3 linked regions of the Elephas maximus indicus genome follow. The protein of the gene in region 2 interacts with the protein of the main gene of each other region in a pairwise test. Links are inferred from orthologs where the notes say so. Each region holds a gene or a part of one and is shown on either strand. Other genes may lie near its edges. The genes, in order: C2H1orf35, THAP1 and GPATCH2L.

Region 1 (3,748 bases), on a different chromosome or scaffold from region 2:
CTAAGTGAAAGCAATGAGAAATTCAGTGCCTTGGTCATACCGGCCACATTTCAAGTTCTCAAGTCTCCATGAACAGCAGCTCCACTGTGGACAGTGCAGGCAGGAACATACCCGTCATGGCACAGTACACTGGCCCACTAAGTATAGCCCTGGGCACCCTCACCCCACTCCGCATCCCACACACACCCAGCCCCCCTTCCAAGCTGCCTGAGTGCAGGTCTGCTGACCACCCTGTGCAGCCCGGCCCGGCACTGCCTGGCACACAGCAGGCACGAGAGTGCAGCCTGGCAGTACAGGGCCTTCACTACCACCTGGCCTCAAACCTGCCTTCAGCCTGTCTCCACTGCACTCTCTACATGGACTCTGAGCATCTTGCTGCCACACACGACTCCTTGCCGGACCTATGGGCCCTTTCTCACCTCTGGGCTGGGTGCACGGGCCCTCCCTGGCCAGGACTCAGCCTCGGCCCTCGTGCCAGAGTGGCCACCTGACTCTGCTGGAGCTGGAGGGCCGTTCCAGGACCACACTGAGTATGCCTGCAACTTGACCTTCTCATCCGGGAACAACTCAGAGGGTTCCCAAGATGACAAAATAGGAGGCAACGAGAAAACATGGGAAGGGGCAAAAGCCACGTCCTCCACTCTACCGCAAGCAGGCAGCCTGCCCATCTGGCTCAGAATTTCCTAGCAACCAGATGTGCGAAGAGAAACTTCAATTCTGTGCTACTCAAACTTCTGCTCTGGAGCCTCTGGGGTGTGGCTTAAAGTGGCCTGGCCCCAAATATGGAAATTCTTAAAATTAAATTTTAAGTATGAAATTAAACCCAGCATCCCGCAGTGTGGGTATGCTGCCTGTGGACCCTGCGTAAGCGAGGCCCTTACCACGGCTCCGCCTTCTCCTCAGAGTGCAGCTTCTTTCTGGCTGAGGCTGGGGAGGTCTCTGCCCCACTGCTCTCCACTCGTTGGTGCTGCCAAGGGAAGCCAGTGCCACAGGTGAGGACTCAGGAGAAGGCCTGGACAACCCTGAGATGCTTCCAGGCCATCCAAGCCCAGGTTTCTCAAGTCAGGAGACTGGGAATGCCCCCAGAGAGGAGAGGACCCTGCCTCAGGCCCACAGCACCAGGGGAAGCCAGGCCCCTCCCATCTTGCCAGCATGGGCTCCTGGTGTGTTCTGGGGGAGGGGACATTACTGTGAACACCGACAGCCCCAGCTTGGCAGCCTCCTTGTCTTCTCTGGACAACACCACTCGGCCGGCGGAGCCACTGTAAGAACACACGAGGAGGGAATGCGTCTGTGGGAAGAAGGCCGAGCTGCGCCCCAGTCAGGAGGCCCTGCAGCCCTGCTGCACTTGCTTCACCTGGGCACCTGGCAGGGCCCACGGGGAGGAGCCCTGCCCTCGATTTCTCTGGGACTTGCGGATCCCTGACATCTCCCTCAGGTCCTTAATCTGCAAGTCCCAGTCCTGACAGACCCCGTCGCCAGGAGGACCCCTAAGAGTTCACCCCTGTCCCCGCACCTGGAGCTCCCCAGCCCCAGGAGCCGGTCCACACCCTTGTCCTCAGGGTCTGCTCCTTCCCGCTTACAGATCTCGACAAAGTCCTGTGGGGAGAGAAAGGCAAGGTCCTCGCAGGCCCCAGAGCCGCCTCCCACCCCGCCCAGGCCACCCTGCCGACCTCAGACCCGACACTGCCCGAACCTCCCTCGGCCCGGGGCCCCTCGGCCCGTTACCTCCTTGCTCAGGCCTGTGGGCTGTTTCTTCACATTCTTGTAGCCTCTGCAACGGGGCCAAGGCACGCTTCAGGAGGGGCCGGTCCCCCATCCCACCCCGGGCCTCCCAGCCCTCGGGGCGCCTGCACCCTCGGCCCGCACGGCCACTCACAGGGCTGCCATGAGGGCCTCCTGCTCCGCCTGCCGCACGGCCGCCAGCTCCTCCTCGCGGCTCAGCCCCACCGGGCCGGCGCGGTCCTTGGCGTACCAGGTGAGGTCCCGGCCCTTCTGCCACCGGCCCACGGGGGCCATCAGCGAGTTCCCCAGGTAGTTCTCCCGCTGCTTGTCGGTTTTCACGTCTTCCCAGTTGAACTGGTCCTGGCCGCCGCGGACGCCGCCTCGACTGGAGCCGAACATGGTGCCGGCGGCTGCTGCGGGCGACGGGAGGACAGAGAGGTCCGCGCTTGGCCAGTCCCTCCAAGCCCCAGGCCAAGTCCAAGGCCGCCCAGCCCGCGCTCGCCCAGCCCGCCCGGGCCCGCCGCCCGCCCTCACTGGCCGCCGCGGCAGCTCCTGCGAGCGTACGCCCCCGCGCCGCGCGCGGTGACGCCATCCGCACCGCCGTCGGCTCCGCCCCTCGCGTCGCGCGCGGCGACGTCATCACCCGCGCCAGGTCCCGCCCCCAGCGCCAGGGGGCAGCTCGGCTGTTCTGTGTACGCACGGCGCTGGGGTCTTTCTCCCCGCTGCGGGGGTTAGAACCGCTAGCCTTTCCGTTAGCAGCCGAGCGCTTAACTGTTGTGTCACCACGGCTGCGTGAAGATTACAGCCAAGAAAATCCTGTGAAGCAGTTCTGCTCTGTAGCATGGGGTGGCCGGGAGGCTTGACCGCCAGCTAATAACACAAAAATTGTATTTCAGAATCTGATCCCTAAGATGCCAAAATGACAGCGATATAAGTTTTTTTAACGTGAAAAAGGTGAAAACAGTGACAGAAGGTAATAAGAAAAAAACACTGCCGCTTAGTCGATTCTAACTCATAGCGACCCTGTAGGACAGAGCAGGACTATCCCATAGGGTTTCCAAGGGTGTATTCGTTACAGAAGCAGACTGCCACATCTAATCTGGTGGACAGCCCATCTCTGGAGAAAAATCATCGTGCTATTCAAAGGAAGAAATAATCTTGGACGTCCAGATGGCTGGAATAAAAAGCAAGCATTTATGCTTACAGAAATACATCAGCGGCTTGAAATCCAATAAGGTAAATTAGGCCGTAAGAATTGTGCAACCATTCAGCATTTAAGAGTGACAGGGAAAAGCGTGTGGCATTTACCTGGTAACTCCAAATGGCAGTAGGCACTAGGCAGGTTCTCTGCGAACAAAGAGGTAAGGAATATTTTGTTTCTAAAACCCATGCTAAAGTTCAAGATTTGTAAAATAAATGGTTCAATTCCCAGTTTAGCGTATAAACTAAATAAAATACTGATGCTACCATAGAAGTTTTTAATACGGTTCATGGTTTAGTAAAACATAATAGGCTTTACCTGGCATTGAGGGGCAATAAGATTTCAAGAGAACTGGAAAGGTCAGCTGTTCAGTAGAGCAAGAGTAACAGGACAAATCACAAGAATTAAGATGAAGATAATTAAAGGTATCATAGAAGGGAACGGCAGACGTGGTACTTGAACCACCAGGCATTTCGTGACTACACTCCAGTGCCCAGTTCGGCCAGTGCCTGCCTCCGCCAGTCAGCTTATTTGTTGCTTTAAAAGAGCTGGTATCCACCACAGTGGATTATGGTTTCAGTACACTATGGTTTACCATCAATTACTGTGGCTTTAATAATGAATATTCAAAAACAAACCTCATTGTATTTTGTTCTGATGGGGCAATGCTGAGAAGAAAATCTGAAGTAACTACAAAGCTGTTGGAAAATATTCCTAAAAATCTTCATTTGGAACTGTAAAATCATTAGTTGCAACTGTCAACAGCAGAATGAAAACAATCATTTAAAAATATTTCTGTGTAAAACATCTCATTGATCACCA
Region 2 (3,748 bases):
AAATGGACACAGGGAAAGGGGGAGCATGCTGTCTCATTGTGGGGATTGCAACCAATGTCACAAAACAGTATGTGTATAAATTTTTGAAGGAGAAATTGAGCTGTAAACTTTCACCTAAAGCACAATTAAAAAAAAAAATTAACCTGGTAATGAAAGGGATGTGAAGGGTGAGAAAGACATCCAAGCTGACTCCAAGGTTTCTGGCCTGAACTGCATGGATAATTTACAGGTAATGAGAATACCTAGGCAGAACGAATTTACATAAGAAGTAAAAGATTGAGGAAGTTATGGCATTTGATTCAAGAATCAGAGTGTTCAGAGTGCAAGGAGGGCAGAGGATTGAAACCCCAACATTTAAGAAGAGCAGAAAAAGAATGTACGAGCCATTAAATTAATCAGTTGCCCCCTATCCAGGCTTTAACCTACATAGAGGAGAGGGGCGGGTACGGGAACAGTAAAATCAGGGCTGAGAATCTGCATGTCTAATAAGCTTCCAGTTGATGCTAATGGTGCTGGTTAGCAACCAATTGTGAGAACCACCAGTTGAGCAGTAGTTCTCAAACTTTATTATGTAAGAATCACCTAAGGATCTCATTAAAATGTAGATTGATTCAGAATACCTGGGGTGAAATGGGTGGGTGGGGGTGTAAATGCAACTTCACAGCAGGGGTCTGAACCGGAACCAACGGGTTCAAAGCCCTGGGTAAAACCACTCTCCACGTGGAAATCGCTGCTGCCAGTGGCGATTTCCAAGGCAGCGCCTGGGAACCCTGCAGCAAAAGCCAGCCGCGGGAAACGGAGCCGCTTCCAGAGAAGTCCAGAAAGAGGATCCGGCTGGTACGTGGGGGCTGTGCGTGTGGCTTCTTTCATCGCTAAGAATCTGTCACATGGACTCTCACAGATCCTTGAGATGCCTGTACAGACAGGTAATAGGATACAGATTAGGGGTCAGAAAAGGGGTCCACAAAATCGTAAAATCGTCTGTGGCGTACCTTTTAAGAAAATGGGCTCAATTAAGACTTTGCTCCCCAGCCTCCTTTAGGCCACCAGACCCAACAAGCTGTACTGGTCCCACACTCCAAGCCGCCCCAGGAAAGCTCCGGATAAGTAAGTCTACGGAAACTCCACGACCGACAGGAGCTCGGCCCACGGCTCACCTTCGCCCAGCCCCTTCCCCGCCCCCAACGGCTCCCTTCCTCCCGGCAGGGATCTCGGAGGCCCCGCCCACTTCCGCAACGCAGAGCTCGCTGCGCGAGACGCCAAGCCTCAGCCAATGGCCTGCTCCGCAGGAAACGTTACCTCTGACCTCGGGGGCTAATCAGAGGCAGTGGGACGAACTCCTCGCGATAAGTGAAGTTGAAGCTGCCTCCGCCATCTTGGAGATGGGAGACGGGCGATGGCTGTGGTCTTTCTGCTAATGCAAACAACAAAACGGGCACATTAGTCACACCCGAGTGAGGCTATCATCACTTTATCTGTTAACCAAAGCTACAGAAGAAGCGAGAGTGTCAAAATCGACCGCGGGGATATTGATAGCTTCACCTGCCTGCGGTGGCGGCAGAAGTGAAGTGACTGAGTACCGGAAGGATGGTGCAGTCCTGTTCCGCCTACGGTTGCAAGAACAGATACGATAAGGATAAGCCCGTTTCTTTCCACAAGTAAGTACGCTGCGCTCCTCACGGGACATACCCCAGGTCGGGCTAGGGGCGCGCGGCCGTTTAGGTTCGGGGGCGGAGCCCGGCGCGTGCCCGCGCGAGGGGTAATGAGGCGGGCGGGGAGCGGTGGGCGTGTCCGGACAGGGAAGTGTTGGGGAAGCGCCGCTCCGAGGCCGGCGCTTTTCGGTTCCGGGCTGGGCGGTCTCACCGCGCGTCGCCATAGCGACCGTTTCTCGCGCTCTTAAAATCCGCGGAGAAGGCAAGAAGCGCTTGTGGCTTCGGGTTGGCGAGTTCGAGGCCGGCTCATAGCGACAGGGGAACTGCCCCATAGAGTTTCCAAGGAGTGGCTGGTGGATTAGAACTGCCGACCCTTTGGTTAGCAGCCATGGCTGTTAACCACTGCGCTACTGGGGCTCCACAAAAAACAAAATAGAAGTTACTGTTTTTGGTCCTTCAGAAACTACTGGGAACGGGAGGCCAGAATCACAACAATTGAGGATTAATTTTTGACTGGAGTTTTAGGGAAGATTTTTTAAAAATTGTACATATGTATGTAATAAGTCGCTTGCTATTTCAGCATGCTTTACAATTTCAACATGCATGTACTGTTTCAACATGTATGTACAACTCAATTACACTAGTTACGTTTATTATGTTCAACTATTACCATTATGCATTTCCAAATGTCCCATCACCTTTAACAAAAGTTTAGTATCTGAGGGAGGATTTTTTTGGCTCAACATCTGGGAACCAGCCTTCACTCCTGTCTGAGTCATCTAGTGCTGTTATAACAGAAATACCACAAGTGGATGGTCTTAACAAAGAGAAATACATTTCCTCACAGTAAAGTAGGCTAAAAGTCCATATTCAGAGTGTCAGCTCCAGGGTGGGTCTTTCTCCCTCTGTCGGCTCTGGAGGAAGGTCCTTGTCCTCAGTCTACCCCTGGTCTAGATGCTTCTCAGGTGCAGGGACCCCGGTTCCAAAGGACGTACTCAGCTCCTGGTGCTGCTTTTTTGGTGGTATGAGGTCCCCCTGTCTCTCTGCTTGCTTCTCTCTTTTATATCTCAAGAGATTGCCTCAAGACATAACCCAAACTGGTAGGTTGAGTCCTGCTTGGCTAACACAACTGCCGCCCATCCTCCCTCATTAATATAGAGGCAGGATTTACAGCATACAGGAAAATCACACAATACTGGGAATCATGGCCCAGCCCAACTGAAAACACACATTTTTGGGGGGACATAATTCAGTCCATGACAAGTCTAAAGTTTTAGAGAACACTTGTGGCACTGCTGAGATGAATAATTATCTTTACAGCACACAGTAATCGTAAAAATGGACAACAATAATAACCTAGACTGCAATAAAGTACCATAAAGTCAGTGTGATCTCTATGGGAGCATAGAGAAAGCCTTCACAGAGGAACGCACCGCACAGCTGAAATTCAGGACTATTTCACCCAGTAGGTGCCACAGTTATAGTACTACGGAGGAAAGTAGGAAAAGAAAACTGCAAAACTGAAATGAGGTAGTGTTAATTAAATGGCTAAAAAATGTGACAACAGTTTCATTCAGCCAAGATTAGTATTTACAGATTTTATTATGTTTGCATTATATATTTTTTTGCAAGAATTCCTGAATATATAGGGATGATACCTAAGAAAGTAGAGCCAATAGTAAACTATACGCATTGTTGAGTCAAATAATTACAAAAGCAAATATTTAAGCATGCCTTCAATTTAGGGAGAGGGGGCTGTTTATGTTTAATGGAGGACTGGATGGATTTTTCTGTGTTTGATATAACATGGGTTGGACCCTACAGAAATAGGAGTACCTAGAGCATAGTGTTGCTATGAATCAGAATTGACTCCATGGCAGTGGATTTGGTTTAGTTTTAGAGCATAAAAAGATCTTGAGAGTGTTAATATTTTCCCATGAAGAAGGGAATAGAACACTTCCAGAATTCAGTTCAGTAGATTTGATCAAGATCAAATCTCTTGATTTATTGGAATCTCTGAACCCTGATGAAATTGACCTCCAGTACTTTAAAATTATAGGAAGGGCCAGGAGATAGTGACAAGATGTCATGCATTC
Region 3 (3,748 bases), on a different chromosome or scaffold from region 2:
AAGGAAATTCAAAGAAAAGAAAAGCCTGAATAGGATCTGATGGTTTAGAATAATTTTATAAAACAGGTTATAACACTGCAGAGTCCACCCGGTCTATAGAAAATAAAGTTGCCTTTCATCCAGCCACACTTACACTCTGTTCCTGCCACCCATGCTCCCCTAAGCCACTAAAAATAGGCATCTGACCCTTGTGAAATGCCTGAAGTCAACATGTTCTCAACCACAAAAATGCAAACACCCACCAGGTGACAACCAGAATATTAGCAAAAACAAGCAAACTCAGGGGAATAGGTCTTTCCCTTTTTCTCCAATAAAACTTTCATCTGAATTACATGATAATGAGATTCAAAAAGATCCGAGACTAACTCATCAGAGGAGTACAAAAACACACAACTTCAAAACCAGGGTAGGGGTCAGGTACCACAGGGTAGGCCCAGTCTCAACATGACAGTGAGAATGGCTGGAGAACTGATTGTTCTGTGGTCTGGGGTCACTGGTGAGAATCTAGGTGGTGAGGAACAAAAAGACAATTTAGTGACATACTCTAAGGAAGACTGCTTGCAGTTTTAGTGATCCAAGACTGTCGTGACTTTGCAGTGATCCAAGACTTTGTACTCAGAATGGAAAAAAGAGACTAAGTTTACATCCATTTAGTCTGGACTATCACCTGGCAGCTAGCTACCAGGTATAGCACCTTATAGACTATGTCATGAATTTTGTTGTCCAGGCTACCACCTGGCAGCTAGCTACCAGGTATAGTACCTTATAGAATATGTCATGTATTTTGTCATAATTAACAACTTTTAAGCTCCTCTTCCCATCTTTCAAAAAATAAATTAAATAGCCACCCCAATTAAATGCTTTAGTGCCACACAACTACGGAAACACGGGAAATTACCGAGGATAGAATGACAGGGATAGGGTGCAGCTTCTAAGATTTCCTACTCATTCTCATCAAACCATCATGCTTCAGGGGTCACTTCAGATTCAAACCTTCAAAGGATAAGAGTAGCATGAGCAATTTTCAAAATTCCCTTTTAATGGGAAATGTCTAACATAATTTGTCCAACATCTAATTATAATACATATTAAATTATCGTTTTTTCCCTAGCTCTCCTTAAGCCCAAACCATTTCAGGAGCATAATTAGAGCTTAAAACCTTGTGTGGCGCCACTCTCTGACCATATTTCCGTTCACGCAGTTTACATTTTGCAGAGGGCTTTCTAAGACCTATTTTCATGCTGTCCCTCTGCCAACGAATTCAAAGGCTGGCTTATCTGCCACATCTGTGGAAGCAATGAGAACATCGAGTTCCAAAACCACCCGAAACATAACTTCTCAAAATGTCAAAAGTCACACACACTAAAAGACTTCATCCCCTTAAGTAATAGGAAGCGGTTTAGAATGCCATGACTGGTATTTGAGAGACAACTGACCTTAAAACCCAAATGAGCTAAACAAATCTAAATCTACTTCCCCAATAAAGAACTACTACCTTAAAAACTCGGGCAGAACCGTACAAACTTTAACGTGGACCAAAGTTATCCGAACAACTTCTAATTGAATGCCTGTTCAGAATCCTCTCCTGACTCAAAAGCTGCAATGCAAACAGCCGATGACCGAGGAGAAGCCTGAGGCTCCCACGCTTCCAGTCTCGGTGCAGACTCCAAGCGGACCTCCCGGGTCCTGGCAGCCCCCGGGGGGAGAGGTAAGCCTGTCTGAGTCACGCGCAGGAAGGAAGAGGAAGCTGGTGGACACCAAGTGACAAGAGAGGCAGACGCAGGGTGAAGGGGAGGTGGGGAAGCAGGCAGCAACTTCTCATCTGGGCTCAATCACAAGGGGCAGAGGTCAGCCCTTCTAGGTCAGAAACCGCCAACAGGCAAGTTCTGGGGGCTGAACTCCCTCCCTGTTCGGGGATGGCAACATGGCCACATATGTGAGGAAAAGCGGGTTTGGGGGGCTCTCACCCACGCCCTGACCCGTCCTCGTGGGACAGGGCGACCACGGCTCGGGACACCAAGCCCTCACGCTGTCGCCGGCCCGAAAGAGGTAGAATACAGAGAGAAGAGGGGACTGTCACCCCAGAGACGGCCCTATCATTCCGGGATGGGGGCAATGGGCCCTGCAATGCAAGGCCCCGCCACCACCGCCCCTCCCGCCGGCCGTCGCAGTCCCCTGGCGCCCCTAGCCGCTCAGCCCCTAGCCGCCCCGGCGGCCCGGAGGCCTGATCCCCGCTGGTACCAGTCCTCTGAATCCCGACCCGCTCATCCCACTCCTCCCCCTCACCGGCTGCCGCAACCGCCTCTTCAGGCCGCCGCTTTTTGCGCCGAGTCTGCCCGCCGGGGTTTCCCTCTCTGATCTCATTTCCGGTGTGGGCCGGAGGGGTGGAGCGGTATCCCAGTGGGAGGGGTTGAGGTGCACGAGAAGAACCGCCCCCGGGGCAGCGCTTCCGCCCTGCGGTCACGCCCACTTCCGCCCCTCTAGGGGCGGAGCCGTAGGAAGTCCGGGAGCTACGCGAAGGGGCTTGGACGCGCGGCGATAGGGGAGAGCAGTGCGAGGTGCTTCTCCTGGGTTAAGGTGTTACTCCGAGGAAAGACTTCAGCGAGCTAGTCGCGTCTTTCTTGGAGGCGTCAGGAAATTGGGTGTTAGGGAGGAGCATCGGCCTCGCCCTTGCTTGCTGGCCTACTTTTATAAAGGCTGTGTAAAGTTGGGGGAAATGGAGCTTCTCATTCTTAACCGTGAGAGTTGGTACAACCTATGGCAAGGATACCTTTGCATTAAAGTTACACATGCCTTGAAGAGCAAAAATAGAGTAGAAATAACCGTTAGTACATAGTGATATAAAAAAATGATTGATTGGATAAATATATGGGGGAGAAGAGACACATTTCCTGTGCAGCATTATAAATAATTTATACCGATAATTAACATAACTCCCAGCTCCTTAAGTTGGGCTGTGCACTGTGACTTCTTTCCAAAGGGTACTGTATGAAAAGAGGCCAAAAAAAGTACGTAATTTTACAGTAAAGTCGCAAACACAACCTCAACCAGGTAGGTGATCAAGGTCAACATCAACAGTGATAAGTCATGTTCATAGTATACAGCCTTGATATGATGTGATGAGAATGGCACCGCCCAGAGGAGTCTAAGGAGACACGACAGATAAATGTGGCTTCTTGAATGGGATCCTGGAACAGAAAAAGAATATTGGGTAAAAACTAAGGAAATATGTGTAAAGAATGGACTTCAGTTAATAATTACATATCAATATTGGTTGGTTAATTGTGACAAGTGTAATATACTAATGTAAGATGTTAATAGTAAAGAGAACTGTGCAGTATCTTTGCAATTTTTCTATAAATCTAAAACTATCCTAAAATTTAAAAAGTAGAAAATACACATGTTTCTTGATCCAGCAATTCTGCTTCTAGGAATTTTATTCTGAGGAAGAATTAGAAATGGGCACAAAAGTGTTAAATGTGAGTAGATTCATCTCTGCAGTGTTGTAGGGGAGGAGGGTGAAAGATAAAGCTACAACAAGAGCTAGTTAACTAAATTATGAGCTGGAATACCTTGCAGTCTTTTAAAATTGATGCTGTGGAAGAATATTTGATGCCATGAAAAGTCATTGATTTAGGATGGTGTACATTTCTGTATGACTGTTATACTTCAGTAAAAAAGTTACTCTAAAAACACAGAGATTGATCCTATTCATGTTTAAAGGAAATTAAATCTACACTTAACATAG

The links.
Region 1: the proteins of THAP1 (region 2) and C2H1orf35 interact in binary tests that used the Homo sapiens proteins (3 or more experiments, as listed by UniProt). The two-hybrid records come from large-scale screens. The link is inferred for Elephas maximus indicus from reciprocal best matches to the Homo sapiens genes THAP1 and C1orf35.
Region 3: the proteins of THAP1 (region 2) and GPATCH2L interact in binary tests that used the Homo sapiens proteins (3 or more experiments, as listed by UniProt). The two-hybrid records come from large-scale screens. The link is inferred for Elephas maximus indicus from reciprocal best matches to the Homo sapiens genes THAP1 and GPATCH2L.

Annotation. Positions count from the first base shown.
Region 1 is NC_064820.1:232,588,341-232,592,088, reverse strand, and holds the start of C2H1orf35 (multiple myeloma tumor-associated protein 2), read right to left. Parts: upstream 2,327-3,748; 5' UTR 2,318-2,326; coding exon 2,260-2,317; intron 2,139-2,259; coding exon 1,880-2,138; intron 1,775-1,879; coding exon 1,729-1,774; intron 1,600-1,728; coding exon 1,517-1,599; intron 1,263-1,516; coding exon 1,190-1,262; intron 968-1,189; coding exon 882-967; intron 1-881.
Region 2 is NC_064840.1:57,592,747-57,596,494, forward strand, and holds the start of THAP1 (THAP domain-containing protein 1), read left to right. Parts: upstream 1-1,340; 5' UTR 1,341-1,587; coding exon 1,588-1,658; intron 1,659-3,748. UniProt on the Homo sapiens protein: DNA-binding transcription regulator that regulates endothelial cell proliferation and G1/S cell-cycle progression.
Region 3 is NC_064828.1:88,911,482-88,915,229, reverse strand, and holds the start of GPATCH2L (G patch domain-containing protein 2-like), read right to left. Parts: upstream 2,370-3,748; 5' UTR 2,287-2,369; intron 1-2,286.